2 linked regions of the Notamacropus eugenii genome follow. The protein of the gene in region 2 interacts with the protein of the main gene of each other region in a pairwise test. Links are inferred from orthologs where the notes say so. Each region holds a gene or a part of one and is shown on either strand. Other genes may lie near its edges.

Region 1 (8,099 bases), on a different chromosome or scaffold from region 2:
GAGGGGGGGGTCTGGCTCCAACTCTCCGTTGCCCAGAAATGACAGGATCAGGGCCTGGATAAGAAGACTACCTGGGAGAAAGAGGGAGACTTCTTGGGCCTTTACTCCCTCAAAGACATGGGATAAGGGAAAAACCAGAGAATTCTAGCTTCAGATACCCAGGCAGAGACATCTTGGGTCAGCAGTGCCAACGGGAAAAAGCTGAGTCAGGCCCCTACCCTGGTGCTAGGGTCTCCCCCCACACTCAAATGGGCAGAAAAGAGACTAACAAGAGTTGGCAGAATAGCACCAGAGGGCAGAAAGTCAACTCTTCACATCTGTTCACAGCTGGGCAGACCCCTTGATTGTCAATGGTTCTCTCCCCTCCCTCCCTCCTAACCCCTGGAGCTGCATTGCTGACAGCTTATCTCATAGATGTGTGAGAGCCACTTGGCCCAGACAGTGAACAGCTCTCCTCCTTCCCCACAGGAAGCAAGAATTCTGTCTTGATCCTTCTCTGCTCCCCACTGCCCAAATCAACTTCTTTTCCCTCTAATACCAGTCTTCTGTGAGCCCTCTCTACCAGTGTTAGGCTCAGTCTGTGAGGTTGTTTGAGCTGAAAACTTTTTGTGGAGATGTGGAGAGAGATGGGATGAGGGAGGATGAGGCCCCCAGATAGGGGCTGGAGGTGGTGGATGAGGCTGGGAGTTTTGTGAATAATGTGGATCTCCAGACTGATGCGGTGAACAGGACCCTTCCCACTCAGAAGCTCTGCTTAGCCAGCGAACATACTCGTAACCCCATCATTTGCTTTCGACCTACTACTCGCTGAGGTTTCACACTGTTCTTTCTTTAATTAATCCCACTCCTTAGGTTACACCGGATCCGATATGTTTGAGACGGTCCCTTCCATCCTCCATAACCCTCTTTGTTCTAGACTTGGCTGGTCTCTGCATCCCCCAGCCCCCAGAAGCTGTCTGTTCCCTGTACTCCCTGCCTCAGTGGCATCCCTCTTCCTCCTCCACCCCCACCCTCACCCCTGCTCCAACATGGCCTGTCCTTCTGGAAAGCTCAGAGACATTTGCTGTGTCACAACCAGGCCAGGCTATTTCCAGTCTGGGGCAGGCGGTGGGGGTGGGGTAGGGGGACGTCGGTCATTGGGGAAGGAGCTCATGAAGTCGAGGGAGGGGACTGGACAGGACGAGGGGCCCCATGCTGATCTCAGCTGCTAATTCTGGCAGCCCCAGTGTTAGTAGTGGCTCAAGGGAGGATGTGGGGCCCAATAGACAGAAGGATTAAGTGGGACTGTCTCTCCTTACCTCCCACTAAGAAGGATTCACCCTTTCAGGCCCCCAGCTGCCCCTATCTCTGGTGTGGAGACCCCATCCTACACTATTAGCCTCCATATACATAATAAACACTTCAGGCTTCATGAACTCTGGATGGCACCCTTATGGTGGGACTCCTTATTTTTAGCTGATAGAAACATGTGTCCTTTCTAAATAGCTGATCCTGTGGTATGAGAGTCCTCCATAACTGTACTCTTGTTCAAATCACATCCACAGCTCCCTAGTTCTGCCACTGCCCTTTCCTTCCTCTCTCCCTCCCCTTTCCCTTCCCCCACACAGCCCTGTCCTGATAGAAACCAGGAGAAGGGAATTCTACTTTCTGAGTTCCTCCAAGTTCCGGGCAGATGTTACTGGTTCTCTTCCCCCCCCCCCCCCCCTTCCAGCTGTGCTCCTTTTGCCTCAACCCTCCTCACACACAACTTCAGGCTTTGGTTACACTCAACATTTATACTCCCCCTTCTCTGTATATGAGGACTCCCCCCTTGTTCCCTGCCCTTTGCTTGGGAGGTAGGAAAGAAGAATGGATTTGCTACGAAGACCCTTCTTAGGTAGGTAGAGGAAGGGTAAGGACAAGCAGGGGTTAATGTTTCCTATGCTCCCTCAGTGCCTTTTTAGGTTTCAAAGGCTGGGTCCTACCCCCTTCCCCCCTCCCTGGAAAGGCCCCCAGGGGCTGGGCCCAGCTGCCAGGCACATGCCTAGCATGGGGAGACAAGAGGAGGGAGAAGATGTCATTGCTTCCTTCAGTACCACCAGGCTACCCCAGCCCCCAACACCTCACCTCACTTAAAAGGAACTCTTGGGAGCTACCTCACCATCCCCGTCACTGCCAGCGTGGGGAATGGCTAATATCCTGCCTCCTGGTCTCCTCTCAACCCTACACTTAAAGTTACTGTTTTAGTGACCCCCAAAAAAACTGAAGAGAGGGACAGGTGCTTTTGAGGTGACAATTTCCAGAAGGGGAAACTGAAAAGATCCCATAACTGTTGGACCTGTTAGCAAGGGTCTGGCATGGGAAGACAGAGAGAAAAGGTGATGCAGGTGCAGGAGCCAAGTTGGGGTGTGTCGGGAATGGGAGGGGGAAAGGCAGAGGAAGGGGTGAGGCACATGTTGATGTATCCCTTCCTCGTCTAGTTAAGAGGGTGTGTGTGTGTGTGTGTGTGTGTGTGTGTGTGTGTGTGTGTGTGTGTGTGTGTGTGTGTGTGTGTGTCTGTGTGTCTGTGTGTCTGTGTGTGTCTGTGTCTGTGTGTGTGTCTGTGTGTCTGTGTCTGTGTGTCTGTGTCTGTGTGTCTGAAGGAAAAAGTGCTGCGCCTTTGGGTTGGTGTGGGTAGGGGAGAGCCAGTGATTTTCTCTGCTCTAGTAGCTGAACCCTCCTTCCTCCCCGCTCCCTACTAGGGCTCCCCGACTACTTCGCCCTACCCCAAACCCCACGGCCTCTCCCAATGGCCAGCGGGTTCAAGCCCACCACGGAAGGCTCCTCCCCCAAGCTCTTTCCACCCGCCAATGGAAAGCCCCAAGGTCCCCCCTCTCTCCCTTTCCGCGCGTGGACACCGCCCCGAAGTCTGGCTGGGGGAAAAGCTCTGCCCCTGGGCACAGGCTGCCCAGGACCCTTCTTTCCCCATCCCTTCCCGTCCCGTCCCGTCCCGACCAGCCCCTCCCCGGGCACTGACCGATAGACACGAGCTTGATGTGCTCGCGCTCCAAAAACTCGAGAGCCACGGACACGTTTTCGAGTTTCATCTGGCGAAAGTTGGGCCGCGGGTGGAACTTGCGGTACATGCGCTTCTGGCTGAGCACCTCGAGCAGGGCGATGAGGCGCAGGCCGTCGCTCAGGTCCCGCTGCAGGTCCCCCAGGCGCTTGCCCACGCACTTGAGGTGCTCGTTGCACCAGCGGGTGAAGGTGTTCTGCTGGATCTTCTTCCACGGCGCGTCCTCGGCCAGGTCCTTCTCCGCGGACGGCATCTCCTCCGCGTCCTCGCCCAGGCCTTCGGGGTAGTTACTGTTGTTCATCGCGATCGCCTCGGGGGTCGGGCGAAGGCCAGCGAGCCTGAGTCCGGAGGACGGGGCCGAAGGCGGCTCGGCGGGGCAGGGGCTGAGACCAGCGAGCCTGAGTCGGGAGGACGGGGTCCGGAGCCCGGGGCTGGGCTAGGCGCAGAGTCCGCGGCTGGCTCCGGGGAGCTGTCCTGGGAGCTGCGGACTCTTTCCCGCACTTCGCTAACTTCTGCCTCTGTCTGGAGCTCGGGGGTCCGTCTCCGTGCTCAGCCTCGGGCTTGGGCTCCGACTCTCCCTTCCTTCTCCTCCTCTTCCTCGTCTGCTGAGCCTGGTCTCTCTCTCCGTCTGGGGGGGCGGAGCGGTGCTCTGGAAATGCAGGGCCGGACCGAGGGCGGGGGGTTTAAGAAGACCCTGGGTCGCGGGGGGGCCCCCCTCCCCAGGCTCACGTCAGAGCGCCGGCCTCCCAGGAATGCCGGCCGGCGGGGGGTGAGGGCAGGGGCGGGGAGGGGGGCCGGAGAAGGCCCCGCCTACCCCCTCAGTAGCCTGGAGGATCTGGAGGGACAGGGAACCAGAGAGGGTCTTCCCCAGGTCCCTCCTCCTACTCTCATACCAATCTGATTCCCCCATTCCCAGTCGGAGGAACAAAGGTTTGTCAGTAGGACGCTGCTCCCCAAATCCCCTGCGCCAAGGTCAGAGATGGGGGAGAATAAGGAAGATGGAGAGTACCATAGGGCCTTCTCCTCCCCCCTTCTGCTCCCCTCCCTTTCTCCCCCCCCCATATCTAAGCTGAGTCACAGGTGGGGATGAAGTCTTAGATGGGGGGGAGGGGGAAGGAGAAACAGACATGACTAAGACTTAAGAGACAGATTGGGGAAACTAAGGTCTAATGGAGGGGGTTGGAATTGGGAACAGAAGTCTAATATTGCTGGAGGTCTCTGGACAAGTATAAGTCCAACTATGAATCATCTATGTCAGAGTCCTGTGGGGTAGGAGTATAATATTTGGGTAGGGGAGGAAGAAACAGGATAATAACATGGAAATAGAGGCAATGGCATTATCTGGCCGTGAAGAGAAGGTTTTCCTAAGAACTGCCTTCCTCTATTATTCTGGGATTGAAGTACAGAGGCTTCCTTTTGGGCTAGAATGAGTTTTCCCCTTGGTGATTGGGGCTAGGGTACTTACCCTGCACTCCACCACCACCCCCCTTCCCATTTAGTGTCATCAACCCACTTAGGATCAGCCTCAGAAATGGGTGAGGAAAAAGTTCTGATGCTGGGCCATGAGTCACCTCTCTCCGCTCCCCATCCCCCCAGACCCCAGACCTTGACTCAGATGGTATCTCCAGGGACAAGAGTCAGGACAGACCTTCCCCTCAGTGGCAGGGAACCCCCCCACCCCCATTCATTGTGCCCATCCTTGGCCAGAAAGGAGGACTGTCTGGCCAGCCAGTCAGGGAGATCCCTGTTGGCATAGGCCAAGGGGGAATGTGAGCTGAGGTTGTGCGAAGGCTGGTAGAGATAGGATGGAAGTAGAGGGAAGCCCTGGAGAGAGGAAAGCAATCAGACTGACCCTTCTCAGGGGAGATGGGGGGAGGATGGATGGGGGGAGACTAATACTAGGGAAATCCATGGCTCTTCCAGGAATGGATGTTGGCCCAAATGGTTGACAAATTTAGGGAAACTGAGGAATAGAATAGGTAATGGTCTTCCTTGAGCCCCAGAGAGAAACAGGCATGACTCAATCTAGGTTTGGATTCATCCTTGCTACCCCTCCTTTCTTAACAGTTCTAGAATAGTTAGAATAGGGGATCTGGAGGGAATTAGCTGCACCCCAACCTCTCCATGATAGGCAAATGGGAAGACCTCAAACCAGATAACTCCCTGACTCAGTCAGTGTTGCCATCTTCCAAAATGGTAGAGCTGAGGAGACTTTTGGAATGTTTTAGGGGCCATTGTAGTGAGTGACTCACCAAGTTCTGTGAGGAGGGGGGCTATGGGGCACTTAGCTGGCTCTTTCTCCAAGGTCACAGCTCTCATTAGGGACATTGATGGGAAAGTACTGTTATTTTTTTGGGGGGGGGTGTTATAGCCGTGTTATATGCTTCCCTCCCCCAAGAGACTGTTCTCAGAATTTAAGTAGGAAAAGGAGTACAAATCATCAGGGACAGAGACATTGGGGTAGCCCTGGCTAGTGGCTGTTGTAAAGTGGGGTGGGGGGAGGGCAGCTCTGGGGGCCCTGATAGTGACAAGTTGGAATATAAATAGCCCTCTGCTCCAGGGCTCATGTTCTGTCTGCTGGCTATGACGTGATACTAAGGAATTCCACTGTCCTGGTTGCAGCTCACCTCCCTCCCCTACTCCCCACTCACTCAGTCTCCCTCTTCACCAAGCTATTCACATCCCACCCACAAAGCCATTTCATGGCAATCACTACTGTCCATCACTTGAGCTTCAGGAACCAAGATGCCCCATAAAGAGCTCCCCAGATCCTGGGTGTGTATAGATTTGTCTCCCTTGGACAAAAATGAGTTAGGAGGGAAAGAAGCTGGAGGAGTATTCTTAAAACCTTAAAAAAAAAAAGATGGAGAACACGATATTTGATTCCATCACACCCATGGGGCCCCATGCCATAAAACTGAAATTTGAAGGTTGGGGAACTGGGAAAGAACAGTCCCTGGTTCTGGATTCCTAAACTTTAGCTGCTAGGATAGCTTGGTACACTGGCACACTGAGCACTGTCCTGAGTCCGAGGACCTGGGTTCAAATCCTGCCTCTGATACTTACTGCGTATGTGACCAAGTCACTTAACCAATATGGGTCTCAGTTTTTTCATCTATAAAATGAGAGGCTTCTCAGGGCCCTGACCGCTATAAGTGTATGATCTTTGAAGTTGATGTAGGGTTGTTTGAGGCTTACACTGAGGGATTTCATGTCATTAGGACTCAAAATATTTAACCATCCCTATGGTGACCCACTAGCACTAGTGGGACGGTAGTAGTGGTTCCTGGCTCCCTTGGGGAAAATACCAATCAATCATGGGTAACTAAGGGAGACCCTTTGAATCCGAGAACAGTGCCAGGGAAGGGGATAGGCCCACAAAGAGATGACCTTCCCTTTACTACCTCAACCCCAAACGGCTTAGTGTACAGGGGAGTGAATGGGGTAGAGGAGGGAACAGAGCCAGGAGATGTTTCCCGTCACCCCTCCATTGCCCTCCCCCTTCTCCCAGTGCAACCTGAGCCTGCTGCTCTCCAGGATAAATTGGGTCCTGACTCAGGGCCCCGCTAGTCAGCTTGACCCAGCAGGGATGGTGACTCAGCCCTCAATATAGTCCATGAGCCGCTGCCCTGAGACGGGTAGCAACATGGGGCTGGAACAGACCGTGCACAATGCTTATCTTGGTCTTGCCAAATTGTCCCCCCCCCCCATTCCTTCACTTCTCCCTCTCTCTCCCCACCATCCATCTCTTGGCAAAGGAATTAGTCTGTCCTTTTCCCCTGAGCCATGTGGGGGCCCCTCAGAGGTTTGCAGGGGGTTTCATCAGCCAAGTATTTGGGGCTACAAGCTGCTTATAACCCCCTGACTCACCACCTGCTGACCTGTCCCTGTAGACCCAAGCTGCCCAATCTAGCTCCTGACTCCACTTCTCCTACAGGGCAGCCTGCCAGTCACCTACATAAATCATACTTCTTTTCCATTTGAGCTGAACTGGGGTCCCCATGTACCAAGGACCCTGTTTTTTAAGAATTGAGGGATATCTCCCTCTATACCCCATAGTAATTTCAGACAAATCAGGCATGTGACTGGCAGAGATCATTCTGAGGCCGGTTTAGGGCTCTGGCCCTATTCCTCTTCACTCCAACGTCTTTGAGATCCAACTAGGTATATTGTGGCAAGTTGTGCTTTCCTCATACCTCAGCTCCAGCTCCTATTTTTCCCCTAAGGGGCTTGATAGAGCTCATCCGCTTGCAGAATGCCTCCTGGCTTTCCTGCTCCCCCCTGTCAATCTATGGTCCAAACTCCACTTACCTAAATCATAACCCAAAGGCTTTTTCCTTAGACGTGAATAATTTGTGGCTCCCTCAGTTCTACCTTCATTGTGCTCCTCACTCCCTCCACAGCAACTGAACCACCAACATTGCAGGATGCCCTTCTCTCTTCATTCCCCTTTCCCTAGAGGTGTGCCAGAGCAAACTGAGTAACTTATAAGCACATCAATCACAAAGAATGAAAAAGGCTCAGGACTTAGCACTGGGTTAGCCATGCTAAGGTTTCAGATAGCTATCCAATCCTCAAGTGAGGAGATATGGCAGAGCCTTTTACATGGTTTGGAAAGATGTTCCCAAAGAAAAGAACCCTGGATTCTGAAGAAAGGTGTTGTCTGAGGAAACATGCAATGAAATGCTATCTCCCTTCTAGTTCAAGAAAAGGGTGGTCCATTGAAGGGTGAGATGAAAGCCCATCAGCGCCCAAACAGGGTGATCACTAGTCAGACCCTTTACCTGTGGCCAGCCTTAACCTTGGATTCCAGCTCAGCATTTAGATCAGCTTTGCTACAGGTTCAAGTAGTACCCAGGCTACATGTAGCTTCCTGGGATTTTTATTATGCATAGTGTTCTCCAGCCAAATAGTGGCTAGAGGTAGGTCAGATTACAGGGAGGTGCCCCTCTGCCCTGGGACAGAAGAGAAGGGGATGGCATCGGGTAAGTAGTGGTCAGTTCCAGAGCAAGTAGAATCCAGCTGATTATGTTAGACCCAGTACAGCTCTGTCTCAAGGGGAAGG
Region 2 (7,860 bases):
AAGGCTGGAGGGCAGAGAGGAAAGAAAAGAGGAGGCTGACTGAGGCAGGAAAAACCCACGGGGCTCAGCAGTCTGCAGTGGGGAACAGGACTTCTTGGAGGGTCCACTGACCATTCTCATACCTTCGTTTCCTTCAGAACTCCAGCGCACAGAGAGTGTTCAAGAGAAGAACATAAAAGAGGCCAAGACCAAATGCCGGACAATCGCATCCCTGCTGACAGCTGCACCCAATCCTCACTCCAAGGGAGTGCTTATGTTTAAGAAGAGGAGGCAACGGGCCAAGAAGTACACCCTGGTCAGCTTTGGGGCTGCAGCAGGAGAGGGATCAGGGGCAGGAGGGGAGGAGGAGGAAGACGGCATCCCCCCGACCAGTGAGTCTGAGCTGGAGGAGGAGACCTTCTCAGATGCCCGAAGCCTCACTAACCAGCCAGACTGGGATAGCCCCTATCTGGACATGGAACTGGCCCGCTCAGGTTCAGGCACAGCAGAAGGGCCAGGACCAGGGCCAGGGGGTGGCCTCAGTGAAGCTTCAGGGAGAGGGGCACGGCTTTTTGAGCAGCAACGGCAGCGGGCAGCCTCTAGCTCCCTGGAACAACCTAATGACACCCCCCCAGCCCTGATGAATGGGAGGGGCCCTCCACCCCCACGGCCCCAGAGCACCCCCCCAGAGGTAGCCTTGTTACCCCCCAGTCCAATGCCACCCCCTGCTACCAGTCCCATTTCTTTAGCCCCTTTCCCAGCCACAGGCATTTTCAACCGTTCAGCAAGACCATTCACTCCAGGATTCCAAGGGCAGCGCCCAGTAACCACTTCCGTTGTTTTCCGTCCCCTTGCCCCAAAGAAGGCAAATGAAAGTCTCAGGAGTCCCAGTCCTGTTCTTCCCCCATTCTTGTCACCACCCCAAGGTCCCAGCCTTACCCCCAGCTTCTCCACCCCAAAGGATCCTGGTAACATACCACTCTCCATCTCCACCAATGCCTCATGTTCCTCAGGCCCAGTGACAGCTACCACCTCCTTATATATTCCTGCCCCAAATAGGTCCATTACACCTGGAGGTCCCCCTGACTCTCAGGCCTCTCACCCCACGGCTGCTATGACCTCCACTGCTTCCATCTTCCTGTCTTCTCCCCTGAGGCCAACTGGACTCCCCATGACATCCAATTCAAGTAATGCTGCCCCTGAGGCTCCCAGTACCCGGGAGCAGAGAATATCTGTGCCTGCTCCCCGCACAGGCATCCTGCAGGAGGCACGGCGCCGAGGAGGGCGTAAACAAATGTTCCGTGGGGGGAATGAAGAGAAAAAAAATTCACCCAACCCTGAGCTGCTGTCATTGGTACAGAACTTGGATGAGAAACCTAGGCCAGGAGGGACTGAGTCTGGTCCTGAAGAGGATGCCCTGAGTCTAGGGGCTGAAGCCTGCAACTTCATGCAGCCTACAGGTGGCCGAAGTTTCAAGACCCCACCCCCTGTGACACCTAAGACCCCACCTCCTGCGGCACCTAAGACCCCACCCCCTGTGGCACCCAAGCCTGCACCCCGGGGTCTTCCTGATGGTCTAGTGAATGGGACTGTTCCCTCCACAAGGGTCCTCCCTGAACCACCTAGACTACAGGGTCGAGGTGGAGAGCTATTTGCAAAGAGGCAGAGCCGGGTAGATAGGTATGTAGTGGAAACCACACCTGGTCCTGGTCCTGGTCGTAGTACAATCTTTAGCTCCCAACCCCGAAGCCCCTCTCCTACCCCTTCATTGCCTCCTTCATGGAAATACTCCCCCAATATCCGCGCCCCACCTCCCATTGCCTACAATCCACTGCTTTCTCCATTTTTCCCACTGGCTGCCAGAACCCTTCCCAGCCGAACGCAGCCTCAGGGACCCCGAACAACCACAAAGCCAGGCATCAAAGCCATCGACTTCATGAGGCACCAGCCATACCAACTCAAAGCTGCCATGTTCTGCTTTGATGAGATTCCTCCAACCCCTAGCCCTATTCCCCCAGGGTCTTCTAAGACCGCTCGAGTTCATGAGATACGTCGATTCTCTACCCCAGCTCCCCAACCCACTTCTGAGCCCTTGGCCCCAACTGTGCTCACTCCTAGAGCCGCCACTTCACTGGATGAGCCCATCTGGAGAGTAGAAATACCCCCAGCTCCAATTCATGCCCCTAGCCCAGCTCCAACTCTAGAGTCTCCTCGAGCTCTCGGGGCCTCCCCTGGTTCCTGCAACTTCCAGGTGGCCAGACCCCGGTTCTCAGCTGCCAGCTCTGGATTGCAGGCACACGTATGGAGACCTGGAGCAGGCCATCAGTGAATTGGGAACAGCCAAGGGAGCCAGAAAATGGAGTACCTAGCAAGGTCTCAGAGTTATTTCTGCCACCCCAAACCCTCTTTTCTAGATACCTGGAGAAAGTTCCCCTGCCAGGGCAGGCTTAGTCCTTCCTTTCCTGGTACTTTTTGTCTGTCCAGCTTTCTCTGCTCTATCTCTTGACTCTTTTTTGGTCTGTTTCTCAACTTGTGTGTCTTTGTTCCTCTCACTGCCTTTTTCTCCCTATTCATTCTGTTATTGTGCCCCTCTATTTTTGTTTCTCTCCTTTGATGCTTTGCTTTTCTCTGTTGGCCTGCATGTAGTAAGTTGACTGAACCCAAATGCAAAGAGAAGGCACTGCTCTTGTAGCCTTAGGCCTGGGTAACTGATGAGAGAAGGAACCTGCTGCCTGGCAGGTGTTCTAGGCCTCTCCTTTCTCCTCTTCTCCAAACCTGGCTCACACCTAGACACGTGTGCTTTGTGTTTACCAAAGGTAAGGAGGAATAGGGAGGTGAGTTCCAACCTGGGCTCTACCCACAGCTCTGCTAAGGTCATGTATAGAAAAAAAGCCTTTCTGTTAAAGAAAAGCTGAGAGATCATTCACTTATCTCTCAGGTGATCTGTATAGTACCCCACAAAACTGAGAGACACATTTTTTGGAAATGGGGGTATCTTAATGGAATTCCTGTTGAGATGATTTCTAATCCCTAAAACTTTTTCTAGTCTTCCTTAGATCTCAGTCAACCACTCTTGCTACTGGGGGGTAGGGTGGGTAAAGAGTTGGGTATGGGAGTAGAGAAACTGATGAACCAGGGCAACTTTGAGGATGATGAAAGGACAGACTTAAGTTTGTTTGGAATGAAGACAGATTCCTTAGGATGGGAGGAGGGTGGGAATCTCCAAAGGCCTATGCTAAGTTAACCTGAGTAGTGGGTTGTGAAGAATGGAAAACTTCCTTTAAGGAGGGATGAATCATTGGCTTCTCAGTCTCATGGATCTAAGTCATTAAGGGGCTACTGTCTTAGAACATGGCACTTGGAACAGAAAATGGGGGCAAAAGAGAAGCTGGAGTGACTAGGCCAGAGTGAGGCAAAGTGTGGGGGTGTGAGAATGGGTGTTGTCAGAATGAAAGTGGGTAAAGACAGACTGTGCAGGAGAGGGGTTGTATGACTGAACTTTAGGGACAGGAGTTGTTAGAGCAGAGTCAGGGAGGGATGACAGTAGAGTGTATATCAGTGAAGTACAATAATCATAATAGCTAACATTTGTATATCACTTACAATGTGTCAGGTGTGTCAGGCACTATGCTAAATGCTTTACAAATATCTCATTTGAGCCTCACAAGGACCCTGGAAGGGAGGTGCTATTATTATACCCATTTTAAAGATGAGAAAAATGAGGTGAATAGAAGTTAAGTGACTTGTCCCAGGTCATACAGCTAGTAAGTGTCTGAGCTGAATTGGAACTCGAGTCATCCTGACTCCAGGTGTAGCATTCTATCCATTGTATCACCTAGCTGCCTCCAATAAGTGGGGAGAAGGCCCTCAGAGCCCGTGCTGCTTCCTTTGTGTCTGTCCTTCAGTCTGTATCCCTCCTTCTGGCACTATGAGCACCCAGGTGGGGGCAGGAAAATATCTAGAACCACAGTCTCCTAGCCCTTCCTATTCCCATAGAATTTAGGTCCCCATTTCCCTGCTTTGGGCTTTAGACCCTGATTGCTGAGCCAGGAGTGGGGGTGAGGGGTTAAGAGCAAGGGGAGCAGAATATGGGATGCACTCCTCCCCCAATCACTTCTGCTGCTTGGTTTTTAAGTTGTTTCCCTTATGTCTCAGGTGTGAGTCACTCTACTTTGATTTGTGCACAGTAATAAACCTGTATCCTACATCTTATTAGTTACCTCGCCTCTCAATCATGCCTTTGTCCTCAGTTTCTACACAACATCCTCTTCTCTGCTTGTTCTGCGGCTCCCCTTGGCTCCTGTTCATTCTCTGCTTTCCCCATCCATCCACCTCCTCTTCCCTATTCTCCCCCATGTCCCTCTTCTTATTCATTCTGCTTGGACCTTTTTTTGCTTTTCTCCATCATCTCCCAGTAACACACGTATACATATATACATACATGCAAACATATTTATCTACATACACATACATTTTCTCCATTTCTCTCAAGTGCTCCACAGCAGAGAATCTGCTCTTTAGGTAGAACTGAGAGATCTTTGAGACGACAGGTCCTGTTTGTTGTCCCTATACTTGTTTGTCACTGAGAATCTTGGGATGGGGCCAGTGATAGTGAAGAAAGCCCAAGACTGGCCATAAAGAAAAAAATCACCACTTTTGTAGGGGAGGGGGGACAGACGGTTTTTAGGAAGGGAGAGTGTCACATTTCCTATCCTGTCAGTAGAGGGCATGCTTGTGCCACCAATCGGCCCAAGACTCCATGAAAGCCCCACAGGAATCGTAAAAATTCCCATAGAAACCTAAGGTTTAGGCAGGAGAGCATATGGGTGCTCCCATCTCACCAGGTGGTTCTAATCAATCACAGAAACCAGTATTTACTGATTTTTTTAAAACTTATTTTGAATCAGAGTAAGTGGGCAGGAATGAGGACAGAAGGTAAATAACAAGTAGTAGGGACCCAGGCCAATTTGGGTAGCACCCCAAAAATGCAGACCTCAGGGTGGTGGGAGGTGTTCTGGGATTTAGGGAACCATTCCCTAAAGTAGCTAAAGCTCAGTGAGGAAAGGGTCAGGGACACGAACAAAAGGAGTGTTGAGAGATAGATCCCAGATCCACATGTAATAAGTGCTGGGGCAGGTATAGGTGAAGTTCAGGGTTTGAGGAGGATACAAATAGAATTCTCTTAAAGGGGTTCTTAAAATCAGATCATTAGCTGGATCAGGGTGATAGTAACAATAACAATATGGACATCTGTCTTAAGATTGAAAAGTCTTGGCAGGCAGGGCTTCTGGGCAGTGTGGCTCCCAGGGTTGGTGAATCACTTGAACTCAGGAATTCTGAATGGTAGTGGGGCTAAAGTGCCCAAGCTAAACTGGACCCAGGATGGTGAGCTCCCCTGAGCCACTAGGGCTGAACCCACCCAGGTCAGAACTTGAAATCAAAGTTTCCAGCCTGGTCTGCAGTGGGGTCAGCTCACCACAGGCTGTGGCACTTCTACCCTGGGTGAGATAAAGAGTCCCAGGCAAAAAAAAAAAAAAGAAGAATGGAAGTTCGGTGAAAGAACCTGAAAGCTGGGGAGACCCAAAGAAAGCTGGCAGGGCTGGAGAACCTGAAGGTATTTCATGGACTTTGTCATCCAAAACTTTTGAGCTCGAGACTCAGGACTCACAAAAACAAACATTGGCTTACAAGAGCTGGAGGCCAAGAATCCACCTGCCCTCTCTTGAAAAAGCTACTGGAAACTCTGGAGCAGAGGTTAGACAGGAGAAAGAAAGAAGGTACAGGTTGTAAAAGAAGAGGGTGGAAGGAGCTGGACCCCACAAGCCCTGGTGGCCTGTCTGAGGTTCATTCAGGGGACCCCTGGGACAGAAGAATCTACTTAAAGGTGAGGCCTGTTCCTCCCTTGCCAACCAGAAGTACTTTCTGGGTGTTCAGAACATCAGATTTCAGTCACAATGAAATCCCCTTTCTTTTTCTCACTGACCTTTCCAGGTTCCCTCTGCACACCTCACCCCTCTCCTCCACTTCCCCTCAGCTCCCCGATGGAGCCACTGATGTCTTCCCTATCTTCTTCTCCATAATAAGACTTAAATATCTCTTCTCTCCCTTCCCCTTCACTTCACCCCTAGGGGCTTCTTTGTCCTGGATGCTTTTTAGGTCTTTGTCTGCGATAATAGGGGAGAGGGAGATGCACAAATGGGGCTCAGATCCATCATGAATATAGCTCAGGCAGCTCAGTTGCTTGAGTCCGAGTGTCCTCTCTGCTCCTGGAGGGCGGGGTCTTAGGCCAGGGTCTCAGTATTCCCCAATGCCATCTGAGCTGCTCTCACTCATCATCTCTATTAATAACCCCCCCCCCCCCTCCACCACTCCCACACCGGCCCAGCTCAGGTTCTCAGGTCAGAGCTGCTCAGCTCTCCACAGCAACTGGACCCCTGGGGGAGACTCTAAGCATACCGGCTCCAACCACAAACTCCCAACCTGTTCAGCCTGAAGGTCTGAAGCTCCCATTCGAACTGGTCCTGTGTCTGTGTCTGCAGCTGTGACCCTTGGTGAGTGCCCCCTCACCCTCTTGGCTCAGCTGTCCTGTGGTGGAGGAGGGCATGGGTGGAGAATGTATAAAGTAAGGATCATCAAGAAGATTGGAAGACTAGCCAGGGAGTTTAGGGAGCAGGGAATGAAGGATGCAGGCTGGACAGCTTTGGGGAGGGGGTTGGCTAGGCCAAAGAGATGGGGGAAGGGCACTGGAAAAAAGGGAAAGGGGCTCAGGAAGTCTGGAACTAAGTGGAAATGAGGAACTAGGAGAGGGGGTTCAAGGAGGTGAGGATGAGTTCATCAAAAGGCTTTAACTTTAACCTGACTAGGTGGCTAGCCCTTGCAATTATATAAAAGCTGTAGCTGGGGTGGAGTTGGGGGTGGGGGGAATGGACTGAGCAGAAGCAGAAAGATTGTGCTGAATTGCCATTTCTGTCTGGGAGGGACTGGGGCCTGTGCCCAGAGTAGAGCTGGAGGCAGATGTTCCTTCCAACTCATCTCCCACTCTACTCCCAGATCCAATTACAGTGACTTCTACACAGAGCCAAGCTCCTCATTTAGTTTTCTGCTCCTTTGAGATTACTGAACTACTGAGAGTTAGGGATCCCTTGAGGGGAGACCCCTAGTGTGAGGGTAAGGGGAGCTGGAGTGTTGGGAGAAGGGAGTTATATTGTCTCTTAAGGCCAAAGGACAACCAGCAGAGAGAATTGACAATTCCTTCTCTCCATAGGAAATATTTTTGGCAGGCAGAAACCTCTTTGCCTTGGCAGAATGGGCCTCAGATTCCAGCCCTCTCAGGCACTTTCTTGACCCTTTAGAGTGACCTATCATTAGCTCTAGTCCTAACTCAGAATTTGGAATCACACCAAGGCAATGGAGTCTGTCTAATGTCATGACTTTTTCATATTTTCCTATGCCAGCTGGGGTTACCCCTGGAACTCTGGGTCGGGTGGGTGGGAAGTGGGGGAAGAAACAAGGTATAGAGTACCTACATAATGAGAAAAGAAAAAGAAAGAAGCTTTTTTAAATGAGGATAGAGATGGTTATAAGGGCTTACTCTTATCTGTCCATTCTCTAAACTTACCAGCAGGTTGACCTGAAAACCTTCCGTAATGCCACTCTCAGGAACTCCAGCCCCAAACAAGAGGCGGAAACCCAGCAAACTCATCATGGAGCTCACTGGAGGTAGGCCAGAAATGCCTCCATATGAGCCTTTTACACACACACACACACACACACACACACACACACACACACACACACACACACACACAAACAAACAAACAATCACTCCCTCTTCCTCAATCCCAGACAGATACACAGGTAGGCACACCACCCGTGAGCAGT

The links. The genes of interacting proteins can lie anywhere in the genome.
Region 1: the proteins of MYOZ1 (region 2) and FLNC interact in a two-hybrid assay, tested with the Homo sapiens proteins (2 studies listed by BioGRID and IntAct). The link is inferred for Notamacropus eugenii from reciprocal best matches to the Homo sapiens genes MYOZ1 and FLNC.

What each region holds. Positions count from the first base shown.
Region 1 is NC_092874.1:121,301,693-121,309,791, forward strand, and holds the start of FLNC (filamin-C), read right to left. Parts: upstream 3,707-8,099; 5' UTR 3,336-3,706; coding exon 2,996-3,335; intron 1-2,995.
Region 2 is NC_092872.1:236,700,717-236,708,576, forward strand, and holds the start of MYOZ1 (myozenin-1), read left to right. Parts: upstream 1-4,294; 5' UTR 4,295-6,530; intron 6,531-7,035; exon of another isoform or gene 7,036-7,146; intron 7,147-7,600; exon of another isoform or gene 7,601-7,603; 5' UTR 7,604-7,625; coding exon 7,626-7,698; intron 7,699-7,860. Other genes in the region: SYNPO2L (synaptopodin 2-like protein), read left to right, coding at 138-2,308. UniProt on the Homo sapiens protein: Myozenins may serve as intracellular binding proteins involved in linking Z-disk proteins such as alpha-actinin, gamma-filamin, TCAP/telethonin, LDB3/ZASP and localizing calcineurin signaling to the sarcomere.